Linked DNA regions of Ovis aries. The main gene of each other region encodes a partner of the protein of the gene in region 2 in a complex. Links are inferred from orthologs where the notes say so. Each region holds a gene or a part of one and is shown on either strand. Other genes may lie near its edges. The genes, in order: SNTG1, PTEN, MAST2 and PARD3.

Region 1 (3,563 bases), on a different chromosome or scaffold from region 2:
AATGTTATACACTTCACTGAAAGCCTTATTTTAAAAAGGCTGTATTATTTTAGATTGAATTAGTGTAAAGTAAACAATAATTATCCATGCCTTACCATTTTATTCACTTACTCTGGGGAAATGTTTCAAAAACTGTACAAATAAAAACTAAAAATAACAGTAAATTAACTAGGCTTAATTGTGGTACTTTGAATACTAGGGAAATGTAAGTTGTAATTCATATAAATTGTCATATTTTGATTAATATAAAATGTTAATTTTTGATGTTCATTACATTTTCTTCTGTCACCCTGGGAAGTATGGTTAAATTTTAAGATGCTAATTTAAATGACAATTAGGATGTTTAGAAATATCTCCAACAGTTAATTATCTATTAAATAAATATATAGATATTTGCATGAATACTAAGTACATTAGTGATCAGAAAATATTTAAATAGATAAAGGAATAGATTAGAAGGTAGAAAGTGTTAAAATGCAGTCTTCTTAATGAAAACTGATTTCAAAATAAACATAATTTATTAATTCTTAGTAATTCATCAACTCACTGGACATGAGTTTGAATAAGCTCCAGGAGACGTGAAGGCCAGGGTAGTCTGGTGTGCTGCAGTCCGTGGGATCACAAAGGATCAGACACGACTGAGCGACTGAACAACAACGAAACACCTGTTTCACAATGAGACGTGTCTCCTCTTTATTTCATTTAATTATCAACTTTAGTTGAAGTGGAAATACTAGGAAATAAGAGTAAAACACATAAACTTCTTCATGTACATATTTTTACATGCTTGAATTTTGAAAATAACAGATGCACAGTGACCAGTCATTGGTTATTTCTGGTGGAGCACACAAGGGGAAGTTATAAAATGCGCAAAACAACAAAAAGCTAAAAAGACATTAACTATTTTACTTTCACTTATATATGCATCTTAAATTCCTATTGTGAATATGTAAGGTGCCAGTCAAAAAAATGCATTGCTCAGGACGTCAGCTTATAGAATATGAGGTCCAAGTTTAAAAAAAGTAAAATAGAATGAAACAACACAATTTTATCTCTATCTCATTTCTAAACATTAGAGACTTGAAAATCTTAAATTGAAACCAGCAAGTAGAAATTGCTGTGTATTTGTTTCCAAGTGAAGTGTAATATTCCAGCGAAATGATAATAAGGAAAACCTAAAACTATCAAAATAAGTTAAAAAAAGTCAACTCCTATACAGCTTCATAAAATGCTTTAAAATAGTCTTAGGGGTTGACACTTACAATATTAATAAAATAATATTTAAGATATTTCTCATCTTTCCACTTTTGATATGAAAAATCTATTTACTAAATTGAGGTTCTATCCAAGTAGATTATTGAAACAACATGTCTTAGTTACTTTAACATTTTTAGATACATGCATATCAGCAAAATATTAGAAAATGTTAATTGAGCAATGAAAAAATGATAAATGAGTCTTCTCCTTGTCTCTTCCCCTGATTGTCATGTCACATTGTTGTGACTTGATGGATTGAATATAAAAATTTGTAGTCAGAAAAAAATTAATACATGTCACAAATCAGTTCAATGTAATTGGAAAAGTATGCATCCAGGTCCATTGTTACAGGCAACTATCCAGATAATAATGATGTGTTGTTGCCATCAGACATTTCACATATAAGAAATAAAGTTTAGTAAACACCTGCTGATTACTTGTGAGTACAAAATGCACTGACTTCAGTCAGTAGAGAAATAAAATACTCCCAGAAACCTACAACTCAGTGTGAGAAAAACAAATACAGATCACTCCAACTCATGCAGAGTGTGGACAGACCTACGGAAAAAGACAAAAGAGATACTGCATTCTGGAGGTGGTTGGGGGCAAGCTTGAATAGGACCGATGAGGAGGAACAGTGGTGGGCACATGGCAGGGCAGACTGGGAGTCAGGAAAATCGTCCTCCCTGGTGTGACCTCTGAGAAGACTTCAAATTCATCTGTGTGGTTTTGGAGGGTAGTGATGAATACAAGGCTTTCCAGCAAGAAAGAGACTTGTGAGTGAATAAAATCATTCTGGCTGGAAATTAAGTGGTTGTGATTGGAGACCAGGAAATGGCTTTTGTAAACAATTAATTAAAGTAAGAACATTTCTGTTTTAGATGTCATGTATGGATGTCAGAGTTTGGCCATAAAGAAGGCTGAGTGCCAAAGAATTGATGCTTTTAAACTGAGGTGTTGGAGAAGATGCTTCAGAGTCCCTTGGACTGCAAGGAGATCCAGTCTATCCTAAAGGAGATCAGTCCTGAGCGTTCACTGGAAGGACTGACGCTGAACCTGAAGCTCCAATACTTTGGGCACCTAATGTGAAGAGCCAACTCATTAGAAAAGATCCTGATGCTGGGAAAGATTGCAGGCAGGAGGAGAAGGGGATGACAGAGGATGAGATGGACGGATGGCATCACCAACTCAGTGACGTGAGTTTGAGCAAGCTCTAGGAGATGGTGATGGACAGGGAAGCCTGGAGTGCTGCAGTCCATGGGGTTGCAAAGAGTCGGACACAACTCACTGACTGAACAACAACAGCAAGATTCTAATTAAATTTAGAAAGGTGTTTTTGATGGGTGGTAGGAAATAGGCTAGAAAGATCAAATTATAGAAAAATTAAAATGCTTTCAGAGTTGTGTTGCACCTCATTTAAACAATGGCCAATGACTGAACATTTGAGCCTCACAGAACTGGATTTTCATGTTCACTTGAATTTATATCAGAACTCTAGGGAGGGGTCATGCATCCTGGGGATCACAGGTCCTCTGCTTTCACAGACCCTCACCTGTATCCGCTCCACCTCCAGGAAGGTTGCTGTTTGGAAGGCTCGTTCCCACTGGGCAAGGTCAGAGTCGAGCTCCACTGAGAAGTACAGGTCCTCCCCAGACTCGGACTGCACAGTGAAGCAGTGTCTCCGCCGGTCCAGCAGGTCACTGTCCTGATGGAAACTTGGAGTTATGCAGACTGGCACATACTTGAGCTACTGACCCAGTCACCCCTGGGTCAGTGTTGACCACTGTGTGGTGGAGACGCTGTAGTAACAAGGATTCTACCCTCTGAAATCACTAATTCTTCATTACAATGGTCACAGAGGACAATTTCCAGTCCTCAAAGTCCATAACTGACACATTTCCTTTCTGAACTGACACTGAAGAATTTCTGGCTTCAACTCTTCCTAGCAAGAGTAGTTATCAAAGCATTGACTGCATGAGATTCCATTTCTCACTGGACAGGTGGATAACACACAATGCTCCTTTTTCCTTCCAGAGCTGTGAAGATGATGAGATTAAGCAATACTTATTAATGTAATTTATAAGTTTTAAGGCGATTATAAGCATGGTATCTTTTACTGAGTTGATTTCTATAATCCTTAAACTATCATGGGAATATTCTATTAGCTGAGACATGAAAAAACTGAGTCTAACATGTTTCAGAAATTTTACTGCTTTTTAAAAGCTACACATTTCCCTTACTTGCTGCCCTTACTTACATAACTGTAATTCATTAAGTCAAAAGGACTTTGACATGGCAATTTCTTG
Region 2 (3,563 bases):
TATGAAAGACAAGGTGAGATAAATTTCAATGATGAGAGCTGAGGAATAGGTGTCTCTAACTTTACCAATTTAACTTATGAGCAGTCAATCAATTCTCTACATATCAATGTTTAAATATCAATGTGTAAATACTAACCGCTTTGTTAAAAAACTTTAAAACCTTATTTTTTGAATGAAACTGACAAGGTATGGAAAACATGTCAAGATCATTTTCCAAAGAATATTTTAGATGAAGCTCTGCCTAATCTATTTACCATCAAACTCTATAAATGCTGCTCTAGTAGGTCCTACGCAATCTGTATTTGTAAATTAACTAGGTCAGACCACAGCTAGTGAACAATTTCAGCACCAATAAGTTATTGAAAATGAGATTTTACACCATTAAGAAATAAATTGGCTGGATAGTCAAACATTTCAAGGTCAAGGTGTAATTTGAAAGATATCAAATTTCTGGGAAAAAAATTATTTTTAATCATATCTTCACATTAACTTTACAATAGTAGTTGTACTCTGCTTAAAATCATATGCAGTCTGGGCATATCAAATATATGATATTTAAGAAGTGAAATTGAAGCCCTAATCCTAACTCTAGCACTATGAAGAAATGATTCAACACTGCACATTTAAAAAAATCTATTCTTTCAATAGCAAATTGATAAAAGCATTATGTGGGACAATTTCTACTGAAAAAGTAAATGACTTATTATTTGTGCAGTGTTGAAAATTTACTGCAACTCTAATTTCCTTTTTAACACAAATAACGTCCTTTTAAATATAAACATTATATGTATTCAATATTCAAGTAAAATTCCCTAACAGTTAATGACATTTAAAAAATGTGCAAAACTGCAAAACTCATTGTAATAGAATGTGTAAGGTCAAAAGGGTGGAACGGCTGACATCTATTGGATTGAATAAGTGCATCATAAATTTTTAAAGAAAAAAAAAAACCGCTTACTGTAGAATCTCAAATTGAAATTTCCTGTGCAGCATTACAAAATATTGTATATTTAATGAGAAAAAAGAAGCTTGTAGGCAGCACATGAAGCATCCACAGCAGGTACATGATTGAAAACTAATAACATAAGTGTAAGTTGTTGACTGATGTAGGTACTAATAGCATCTGACTTTTAGCACTGGCCTTGATTACACAGGAGATGGAGCAGTCATTACAACTGAGAAAACATATTTAATAAATCATTGTCGATTTTTATAATGTTTCAAGCCCATTCTTTGTTGATAGCCTCCACATTTGTATGGTTAAGTCATTGTTGCTGTGTTTCTTATCTATGACCACATTACTTTTATATCCCTTCATTTGTGGATTCTTAAGATGTTGTGGAAGGTTCATTCCTGTACCCCAATACAGATTCACTCCCTCTAGCTGCCTTTTCTAGCACCAATATGCTTAAAAAAAATAAAATGCACAAATAACAAGCAGTGACAGCGGCCAATTCTTCAAACGTCCAGATTAATAACTGTAGCATGCTAAAGAAAGGTGCGTGTAAATAGCTGGAGATGGTATATGGTCCAGAATCCAGCACACAACAAATGCCTTTCTGAGCATTCCCTCCGTTCCCCTAACCCGAATACATGCATTAGAATGTAGCAAAACCTTTTAGAAACTCCTCTTAGCCAACTGCAAACTTATCTGTTGCCACAAGTGCAAAGGGGTAGGATGTGAACCTGTGTATCACAAAGCTCTTTAGCCACTTCAGTTGGTGACAGAACACAAAATGAGAAATTCCTACGTATACACATCAGTCTGTCTCCACTTTTTATAAAACTGGAATAAAATGGGAAAGTGCCATCTTTATTCATCCTAATTGAATTTTAAATGTCCTTTTGACACAAAAAGGTATATACATGACACTACACAATCTTTTTTCAACTGGACAACAAGTGTCAAAACCCTGTGGATGTATAGGGTAAAACAAGATTGGTCAGGAAAAGAGAATTGTTCCTATAACTGGTAATCTGACACAATGTCCTATTGCCATTTAAAAAAAAAAAAAAAAAGGTCCATTTTCAGTTTATTCAAGTTTGTTTTCATGGTGTTTTATCCCTCTTGATAAAAAAAAAAAATCAGACTTTTGTAATTTGTGTATGCTGATCTTCATCAAAAGGTTCATTCTCTGGGTCAGAGTCAGTGGTGTCAGAATATCTGTAATGATCAGGTTCATTGTCACTGACATCTGGTGTTACAGACGTTGAACTGCTAGCCTCTGGATTTGATGACTCCTCTACTGTTTTTGTGAAGTACAGCTTCACCTAGAGAAAGAAGAGAAAGTGTAAATGGAAAATCCATAAATCTGACCACTCTCAAAGATACATATCTTTATCGGATTCATTTTTAAGTACTATGACATACATAACCCTTAAAGAGCCTTTTCAATGACCTTCTCAAGATTTCCTACATTTTCTTTCTTGGCATACACTGAAAAGAAACTGGGATGTTAATATACTATGTGTTTTTTTAAATAAGCATAAACTACAGGCATTAATGAAATAATTCTACAAAAGAAAGGTACTGATTTCAATAGTCCACATAATATTTTTTCGATCACAAAATTCAACTCACATAGAGTTGAGTTTCAAAAGAATATTTCACTTACAGCCTGTCTGAAATTCAATGTATTTTCTAATACAGATAATATTAACAATGATGTTTAGGATTCCATTCACCCTAAAAACTTCACTGAAAGGGAGTAATAAAAAAGTTAATATCATACAGTGCTCTAAATAGTGAACCAACAACCTTTATAAGCAGAGGTGAAATAACTGTCAAAACAACTCTACAGGATAGGTCTTTCTGTTTTAAAAGAGAGAAAGCTATAGTTCAGCAAGGCTAGGACACTTGCTAAAGGCCACATATCTAGTAGGCAGTGGACATGGGATTTAAATTAGATCTGACATCCAATTCTTTGATCAGGCTATTATAGTGTCCTAGCTTTCATTCTTGCCCTCCTCTTGCCTTTATTTTAAAGGAGAGGACAGAGTAAACTTTTAAAGACAAAAATCAGATTACCTCTCTCCTGTGGAGAACACACTCAATGTATTCACACTTGGACTGATGTGTGTTAGTCAAAATGATTTCTTATCTATTGCTCTTCAAATACACTAAGCTCACTCTTGTCCCAGGGTTCCTACACCTGCTCTTTCCTCTTTTCCCAGGTATTTTATAGCTCCCTCATTTCACTTAGGCCTCTAATTAAAGTCAACTTCTTGGAGAGGCCTTCTCTAACCATCCCACTAAAAAATACACCAAGGCCACTCTCTCTCCTATCTCTGCTTTATTTTTCCAAAGCACTTACCATTATATGATATTATATGTGTTTGCTGATAACTGCAATAGCTTTTATTTGTAATAATAAATATAAAACCTCTTGTAACATTAAAACAAAAAAATAAAATTAGAGGAAGTCACACGTTAAAAGCTAGTAACTGAGGAAAATGTTCACAGAGAAAAGAAAGTAAACAAACTTACAAATTCTAAAAGACACTTCAAAACACTTTAATTATAAGATCTAAAGGTACTTATTAGCTCCATTTTCACTTGAAAC
Region 3 (4,239 bases), on a different chromosome or scaffold from region 2:
ATTTAGTCATTTTATGGTCCCCAGGACTGCTGCAAATCTTTCCATGTAATTCTTTCACAATGAAAACTTTTAACAAATAGCCACACATTATTTTTCAACTTAAAAAAAGGAAGTTTTAGCATCTATCATGGTACATTTACACAATGGAAAACTATACAGCAGTGAAGAAGGACAAGCTTTTTCTAAAAGAAACAACATAGATGAATCTTACAGACATAGCTGAATGAAAGAGTACAGTCATAAAAGAGTTAAGCTGAATGATTTAATTTATATGAAGTTCAGAAGAGGCAACACTAATCCATGCTGATAGAGGCTGGTGAGTGGTTACCTCTAGAGATGAGTAATACCTGGGAGAAAACACAAAGGCACATTCTAGGGTACTGGAAATGTTCTACATCCTTATCTGACATAGGTGTATTCATTCTATAAAAATTCATGGGCTGAATGAACCTTTGATTTGCACTCTGTAGTCACATCACAATTAAAAAGTAAATAAACAAACATACAAGTTACTGATGACCTTGAAGACATCAGTTTGGGGAGAGTTTATGTGTAAAAGCCAAATATATGAGGAATGTATATAAGGTGAAGAAGCTGAGACAGTGAACTGTTGTTCAGTCACTCAGTTGTGTCCAATTCTGCAACCCCATGGACTGCAGCATGCCAGGCTTCTGTGTCCTTCACCATCTCCTGGAGCTTTCTCAGACTCCTGAATATAAAAACTCATTTTTCAAGAAGGTTGCTGGTTAGCAAAAATGAGATTACAAAGTAGCTTAAGTAGGTTACAAAACTCATGGAAATCTTGTTGTTTTGTTTTTATTTGAGGTATAAGACAACAAGGGCCTACAGAAGATAAGAGGGAATGAAATCAAAAACATAGAGAAATTAGCCTGGAAGAGGATAAGTACTTCCTTCTTTGAGATTTAAAAGGATGAGTGAACACAGAAATCCTGAGATAAAGGGGAAGAAATCAAGTAACCTTGAACTCTTCAGTGAAGCACTGGATAAGGTAAATTGGACCAGGTAAACTTGAGTCAGGAAAGGATCTGGGTTTTAAGTACATTTTAAAATGTTTTGAATAGGAACTGCAGAGAATATAAAAGACAAGGTTGAGAGAGAAAATTACAGTAAGAGGACAATGCTCAGCGGCCTCAAAGTAAGGGCAAAGATAGCAATAGCACAGTCTACTCAGCACTGGGTGGAGAATACAAGATAAAAAACCAACAGTGGGGGAAAGTCCAAGTGCTAACATGTGCATCACTGAAACTATATAATAATGATGTCTATGGAAAATACTTATTTAACATACAGGAAAGGTCTCCTGTTAGGCAGGAGACCTAACAGGACCCAGGACCCTTCAGATCTCCGAAGATGAAGTCAGTAGGGTCTTGAATAGTATGTGCAAAAGGGAAGCTGTCACTGGAGTCCATTACTACAATACATTTTTCTGTAAATCCCACAAGATCAAGGACCATGCAGGTACTCACTGAACTTCCTACAGCTACTAATGACAACTTCTCCCTCATAAAACTGACCTTTATCCCCTACTTCTAAATAACCCACACTTGATTAAAAAATTAATATATAAACACATCCTGTCCATTCAGAAACTCCACGAACTTTTTGCATTTCTTTCTATGTTTTTCCACTAAGATATTTTCAGTGGTAAACTCCTATAAGGCAGAGACTAAATCTATGAATTCTCTGCTCACAGTACTTCCTTTGGATTGCATACATGCATCCCCAAAGCACATGTTTTAAAAAGTGCTTTCTCGTGAAATGAATCATTACTGGAGAGAACTTTAACAATGGCTAGGAACATATTCCAACAAGACTATAACGATGGCCAAACCAGAGAATGCTTAGGAATGACATCTTTTTCACAACTGTCAAGGCAACCTCGAGAAAATAAGATAACATTTACTATATCACACTGACTGTCCCTACCTTACATTTTTTGCCCCTCTGGATAATTCCTCCATACCCCTTTAGTAAACCTATTCTTTGCACTTCATTCACTCCCAGCCCACATTCCGGCGTCTCTTCTTCTCCTCCAGAACCCTTTACCTCAAACTCCCATAGGACCATTTTTCATCCCTACGCTCTCATTTCCCATTCAACCCCAGACTAATACTTCCATTTCTCCACTCCGCATTTTTCTGCCTCTCTAGACCTCCCATTCCTCCTGCCCAACTTCAATTCAATCCCCACCCCTTCAACTCCCCCAGCCCAAATCTTCCCGCCCGAGACAGCCCTCCCCCATCAGTCCCATTCAGGCTCCCCCTCCCCATCCTTTCCCTGCGAGACCCCGGCCAGCCCTACCTGCTCCCTGACTTCGGGCCCTGCGGGCCCGGTCCGCTCCTCCAGTCGCTGCCTCCCGGGCGGCGCTCGCCGGCGCGGGGGCAGGGGCTGGGGCTGGGGCAGCTCCGCCGCCCGCTGAGCCCCATCCTCCCGGCCGGCTGCCGGCGGCGGCGGCGGCGGCGGCGGCTGCGGTCGATCGCGGCAGCGGCTCCGCTTCATATCTGCGGCTGGGCCCTGCGGGCGTCAGCGCCGCGACTGTCCCGGCCCCGCACCTCCCCGGGCCGCAGCGCTACCGCGCCAACCACCTCCCGCGGCCACCATGGCCCGGCGGGCACCCGAAGCCACCGATCCCAGCCCGCAGCTCCTCCGCGCTTTCTGGGGCCTCAAGGGCCGCGGCCTCCTCGGCGCTCCTTACGCAGGAGGCAGCATCGCCGCAGCCTCGTCCTGTCCCAGCCGGCACACGCTCGGCTGGTCACCCGCCGCCGCCGCCGCCGCCGCCGGCTCCACAGCCAGCCGCCCGCCCGCCTGCCTCTGGCCGGGCCCCGCCCCTCCCTTCCCCTCGCGCGCGCGCACCGGGAGCCCGCCCGCCACCTCCGGCCGCGCGCCGTCTCCCGCGCACGCGCCAGCGAACGGTCGCGAGAGACCCGCCCTTGGCCCCACCGCGTGGTGTGGGAGGGAGAGGGCGGAGAGCGGAAGGGGGCGGGGCCCCGAAGCGCCTGTGGTAGCCGCGGACGGTTCATTGATTCTTTCTTTCGTCCATTCATGAAATTGTGTGCCAGGCCAAGCCAAGTGGTGCGAATCTAAAATGAATTAGAACGGATCAACGTCCTCAGGGAAGTAGGTGGAGAAGGACCAGGAGCAGCAAGAAGATAAAGGAGACAACTAGTGAACAGAACACGGATGCATGCCTTTTTGTTCAGCATCTGCGAACCAACTGTCATCTGATCGTCACATCACACTTTGAAGGCAGGTCTGTTCATTCTCCTGTTACAGATAAGAAGACCGACGAGAAGTGACATGCACCAGGTCACTGAGTAAGCTGGACAGAACTCAAATTCTGGCTTTTCTGACTCTTTCCACGGTTTCCTGCTGCTTCCAAAAAGTAAGACAGGATGTGGAAAGTCCTATAAAAGGGGAAGAAGCAATAGATTCCTTCAAGGGGAAAGGGAAGACAAGCTTCCAGAACATCGCCATGATTCCCCACTGACAACGAAGTAGTTACATTATCGCCCAGTCCAGCCTGGCCACCGCAAGTCCAGCTGTGGCTTGGGCAGCTCAGCCTGCCACTTTCAGTGACTCATCTGCTCAGCAATGTGGCTGTAGCTCAGCCCTGTCTGGCCTCCTCCTTCTGGCTTCTGGTCTGCCACAGCACCATATTTTTCCTCTTTTGACTTGACAGGAATGCTTTCACAGAAGCATTTCCTTAAGGGGTCACCCTTTTTTTCCTAAGCCTCCTCCCTGAACCTTTTTTGAAAGACAGTAATAACTAACATTATAGCAAAACGACTTCCCTGGTGGCTCAGATGGTAAAGCGTCTGTCTACAATGAGGGAGACCCGGGTTCAACCCCTGGGTCGGGAAGATCCCCTGCAGAAGGAAATGGCAATCCACTCCAGTACTCTTACCTGGAAAATCCCATGGACAGAGGAGCCTGGTAGGCTACAGTCCGTGGGGTCGCAAAGAGTCGGTCACGACTGAGTGACTTCACTTTCACTGGATACCAGTCAGTGTGCATTCAATTCACACATATGTGAACAAGAGGTAAGTTGTATAATTTCCAGTTTACAGTTGAGGAAACTGAGGTTCAAGTTACATGAAATGCTCAATATGACACAGCTAATAAGTGCAGAGCGAGGACTCAGACCAAGGTCTATCAGATATCAGAGCCTATACACACAACCGATGTTTCTACAGCCAATCGACAATCTGCTCTTTGTAT
Region 4 (4,087 bases), on a different chromosome or scaffold from region 2:
AGAGTCCTCTCCAAGTCTCATTACCTTGGACATATGTGCAGGCGAGGAACCTGCATCAGCTTTTAGGATGATTTTCAGCAGAGAAGAGAGCGACAGACAGACAAAGCACACAGTCACCACGAACACCGAGACCCGGGCCAGTGAATGCACGGGGTCTCCTTGTCACTCGGACTTGCTATAGCTCGCTGGGCCCCTCCTGGAAACCCCGGGGAAAGCTCACCCAAATGTCAGTGCCTGCTAACATCTACCCTGCACAGCAGCAGCCTCCAGTCTCATTTTGTCTCCTGCCCTGTCTCTCCACGGCACTCACAACAGTGTCTGGAAGATGTGCATGTTTACAGTATCACCCTAATCAAGCCTCAGGACCTGATTCACACACTCAAGGAGCATCTACTCGATGGCAGGCACTGAACAGACACAGGGTTACAGCAGCAAATGGTCCCTAGCCCCAAGTCACTTAAACACAGCCCCACACCCTAAAACTCATCGGTGTTACTGGTGACCCAATACCAAAGGTCAATTTGTATTCCTTTGCTAACTCATAGGTTTCCAAGTGTGTTCGCACTTAAAATTTTTCCTTGAAAATCCCTAGTGTGACTCACAAACTTATCTGGCTTTATCTGGTCAATTTCAAATTGATTTGAAATGGGGGAATTTGAAAGAAAGGGCTTCAAGATACCTTATGAAATATGTGAGCAGATTATAGAGGTTAACGCCATATCGTTTCCTAATCCCTTAGATACACAGTTAGTTTGCTGTCCTTGTAAAGTTTTCCGTTATGAGGCATTTGAAATTTAGTTAACTGTGCCTTCAATGTACTACTTCTAAGAAAATATAGTGCACAGTGTTCCCAAAGAAACAAAACAAAATGCTAAGCTGTGCAATCGAAGCACTAAAACAGGAAATATAGCAGGCACAGACCCAACATATTCTGCATCATACCTAAAGTCTCCGATAAAAATCCTGCATGGATGCAAAGAAACAAATTAGCTGTTTGGGAACTCAGGCAAAACCTAATTATACAACTAGTAATTAAAGCATGAAATGGACTACCTCAAACAACAGTAAGACATGTCACTATAAACTTATCAGGCAGGGTGGGAAGACAGCAAAACAGAAGCAAGGCTGGTTTGTGAAGCACTGAAGATGCACAGATACAGTGGACTGGGCACAAAGGCAGAGCTTTAATGACACAGGCATGTAGCCCGTCTACCAAGAGCAACAACGAGAAGGCAGTGAAAAAAAAGACCCCATGGACTCAGTGGCCCAACGATGCAGTCATTTCCCACCTGCAGACACTCGAGGCCATGTGTGTAGCAATGAAGGAGGTACGTTGTCACTGAGGGTCACACATTGCTCAAGCAGACACAAAAATTGAACACACTCCAAATAGCTCTCCTTTTCAAAGTGGAGGGAAGATAAGCATTTTCACAACCACCATAATCTGATCTTGAAAGCAACTCATCATACAAAATTAAAACTACCTAACCTCCCCTACCTACACCATCCTCTGCTGAGCACGTGTTTACAGACACATGTCTTGGCAGTAGCAGAGTTCTGAGCTGTCAATCCATCCACCTTTCCAAACACAGGGAGCCTCCTGATGGCAGCAGGACCACGCTCTGCACCATCCAGATTAGGAAGCAGGGAGCAAGGCCACAGGCCCATCCAAGCTAAAGACTCCTGCCAGCAGGAACAGTCGAGGATAGGGAAGAACATCCACTCAGCGGCTCCTAATGACTGAAAACACTGCGCTCTCATTACCCAGTTTAACAGCTGCAGGTGACAGGCTGGCATGTGACACGCCACCAGCCAATGAAAACCTTAACACTCAGTCTCAAAGTTGAGCTTGTGTTTTAGGATAAAGGGGTCCAGCCAGGTCTATGGAGGCCCGTGCCCGCCAAGACTTCAAATCAACTTTGGGAGGGAAACCACAGGTGTGTGGAAAGTTCACTAACAATTCCTAGGTATCAAAATTAAATGCCAATCAAGTGGTACAGGAATTACAAAAACAAATAGAGACAAAGAACACTTCACAAAGGAATTACGCCCCCTCAAGTGGGGGACGTCTTCAGACAAAGGTGAGGAGGCCAAGATGTACATGGCATGTTTGGACAGTGGGGAGTAAAGCCCAGACAGCACACACACACACCCCCTCAGCACCTGTCTTGTACCCGACTCCTCTCTTCACAGGACCGGGATGTGGAGAGCTGAGGCGCACACACAGGAACTCTGGGGGCCAGGCTGCAGAAGAGGCTCTCTAAACCTGAGCGGGAATCACGGACACTCAAGCCCCCAACCCAAACATCATCTCCAGCTTCGTGTTTGCTCTAAACAACTATTTAAGCAAGCTGCCACCCACAGAAGCTGCAGGTGTGGACCCACAGTTCGAGATCCAACAAGCATTTTGAAAGACCGCAAATCACACTGGTTAAAATCCCAAAACTAAGGATTGTGGGATTATCTTGGGTTACATTCTCCAACCCCTCACCTCTCCTCTTTTTAAAATGAAATCCTATATGGGCTTAACAGTAAAAGTCCTTCAGACACCCCCTCTCAGCCCTGCAACAGCACTTCCTGTTTATCAACAGACTAAAGTGAAAAGCAGGTCAACAAAACTCCACAAGGAAAACAGAAAACCCGTCTGACATGTGCTATGTGAGCCAGAGAAGCACCCCCACCTTTCAGTCACCAGCCCCACATACTGGCGGCCTCAGGCGTGTCCAGCCCAGCCCTCTGACCACCTCCCAACACCAAGACAGGGCTCTGTTCACATCACAGCAGAGCCTGAACCAGCACACAGGAGACTGAAGCAGCATAACATCAACATATCCAAGCATCTGAACACCAGAGCCCATTCTTAACTAAAAATCTCCAATCAACAAACAAGGGGCAAACTCCATTTGGACCAGGTGAGTATTTGTTTTGACACAAAGCGTCTCTGGGGCCCATCTCACAGTCACATGACATCCCTGCAAAAACCTGTCTCCATTCTGGATAGAACCGCACACCAGGGTACTGGCACCAAAATTTCAGTTTATGGTGTAAGATATATGGGAAACCATTGCTCCCACAGTAAATATAAATCAAGTGTAGACTACTGACACTCGCTTTTCTTTTTTTCCCCTTACTTTTTGGGAAAAAAAAAAAAAAAGTGCCTTGGAATTGATGCCATTTTGTACCTTGTCAAGAATTCTTCTCAACGCACCTAAAATAATACCTATATATACACATATAAATGCCACTAGAGTCCTAAAATTGCGCCCACTGATTTAGGAAAGCAAAACTCATCATAATTTAAATAAGATAATATGCCTTTAAGGACTGTCACTGCCATTTAATGAGAAGTCACAATGTTATGAACTAAGAACTTTTCAGACTGATTTCAGGGCACTTGACGCAGTTTTGAGCCCCATCACAGCAGAAGGACAATGGAAGTACCTTGAGAAGGGCGATGCATTAACTCTGAATCTACAGCAAATATTCACGCCCCCTTGACAAAGCTTATGCAAAGTAATACAACACTGAAGCAACTTGACTAGGTTACATGTGAATCCTAAGCCAGGTTCACTCTCCACAAAGACCAGTGACAACCAAATGAAATCAATTCCAGGGCTGAGGAGGCTGCATTCTAAAAATAACAGAATTCTAACCTTCAAATTAGGTTTCTTTCTATCCATGCTGTTTTTGAAAACAGTCAAACAACTGTGGAAAGAATACAGTGTAAATTAAACCATATGAAAAGAAGGAAAGTGATGGAGGCTAATGCTGCAGGGATGTTTGACTGGCACCTGGGTTTAGCAAGATGGCAAGCAGGAGGACACAAAAAAACTGACCCCTTTTCTCCAAAGACAGGGTGAGCATGCTAAGTTGGATGAGGCAGGGCAGGATTGGGGCTGAGAGGTGGTGGGAGGGGGGTCCACCTCCCTGGGAGTGTCCAGTGTGCGCAAGGGATGAGCAAGTGATCAGGGAACTCAATCCCCACAAGATCAACAGGACAGCAAGGCATTGAGGTTCCACTGCTCAAGCCACAGAGGCTGCCGGAGCATCATCTCCTGGAGCTGTGAGAAGCCACGCTTTCACCATC

The links.
Region 1: the proteins of PTEN (region 2) and SNTG1 are in contact, whole or in part, in a crystal structure (PDB 7PC7), measured with the Homo sapiens proteins. The link is inferred for Ovis aries from reciprocal best matches to the Homo sapiens genes PTEN and SNTG1. Residues at the interface, in NP_000305.3 of Homo sapiens: Asp395, Gln396, His397, Thr398, Gln399, Ile400, Thr401, Lys402, Val403; in NP_001274742.1 of Homo sapiens: Gly67, Phe68, Gly69, Leu70, Ser71, Ile72, Lys73, Gly74, Glu77, His78, Ser85, Lys86, Ile87, Ser88, His118, Val122, Leu125, Arg126.
Region 3: the proteins of PTEN (region 2) and MAST2 are in contact, whole or in part, in an NMR structure (PDB 2KYL), measured with the Homo sapiens proteins. The link is inferred for Ovis aries from reciprocal best matches to the Homo sapiens genes PTEN and MAST2. Residues at the interface, in NP_000305.3 of Homo sapiens: Pro391, Phe392, Asp393, Glu394, Asp395, Gln396, His397, Thr398, Gln399, Ile400, Thr401, Lys402, Val403; in NP_055927.2 of Homo sapiens: Lys1112, Lys1113, Tyr1114, Gly1115, Phe1116, Thr1117, Leu1118, Arg1119, Ala1120, Ile1121, Arg1122, Val1123, Tyr1124, Met1136, Trp1138, Glu1141, His1170, Val1174, Ile1177, Leu1178, Leu1191.
Region 4: the proteins of PTEN (region 2) and PARD3 are in contact, whole or in part, in an NMR structure (PDB 2K20), measured with the Rattus norvegicus proteins. The link is inferred for Ovis aries from reciprocal best matches to the Homo sapiens genes PTEN and PARD3. Residues at the interface, in NP_113794.1 of Rattus norvegicus: Asp393, Glu394, Asp395, Ser398, Gln399, Ile400, Thr401, Lys402, Val403; in NP_112514.1 of Rattus norvegicus: Ala599, Gly600, Leu601, Gly602, Val603, Ser604, Val605, Lys606, Gly607, Asn608, Arg609, Ser610, Lys611, His614, Lys622, Ile625, Met659, Leu662, Arg663, Met666.

What each region holds. Positions count from the first base shown.
Region 1 is NC_056062.1:33,673,493-33,677,055, reverse strand, and holds part of SNTG1 (gamma-1-syntrophin), read right to left. Parts: intron 2,963-3,563; coding exon 2,810-2,962; intron 1-2,809. UniProt on the Homo sapiens protein: Adapter protein that binds to and probably organizes the subcellular localization of a variety of proteins. May link various receptors to the actin cytoskeleton and the dystrophin glycoprotein complex.
Region 2 is NC_056075.1:9,336,023-9,339,585, reverse strand, and holds part of PTEN (phosphatidylinositol 3,4,5-trisphosphate 3-phosphatase and dual-specificity protein phosphatase PTEN), read right to left. Parts: intron 2,272-3,563; coding exon 2,086-2,271; 3' UTR 1-2,085. UniProt on the Homo sapiens protein: Dual-specificity protein phosphatase, dephosphorylating tyrosine-, serine- and threonine-phosphorylated proteins.
Region 3 is NC_056054.1:20,409,354-20,413,592, reverse strand, and holds the start of MAST2 (microtubule-associated serine/threonine-protein kinase 2), read right to left. Parts: upstream 2,846-4,239; 5' UTR 2,521-2,845; coding exon 2,323-2,520; intron 1-2,322. UniProt on the Homo sapiens protein: Appears to link the dystrophin/utrophin network with microtubule filaments via the syntrophins. Phosphorylation of DMD or UTRN may modulate their affinities for associated proteins. Functions in a multi-protein complex in spermatid maturation.
Region 4 is NC_056066.1:17,895,110-17,899,196, reverse strand, and holds the start of PARD3 (partitioning defective 3 homolog), read right to left. Parts: upstream 2,863-4,087; 5' UTR 1-2,862. UniProt on the Homo sapiens protein: Adapter protein involved in asymmetrical cell division and cell polarization processes. Seems to play a central role in the formation of epithelial tight junctions. Targets the phosphatase PTEN to cell junctions.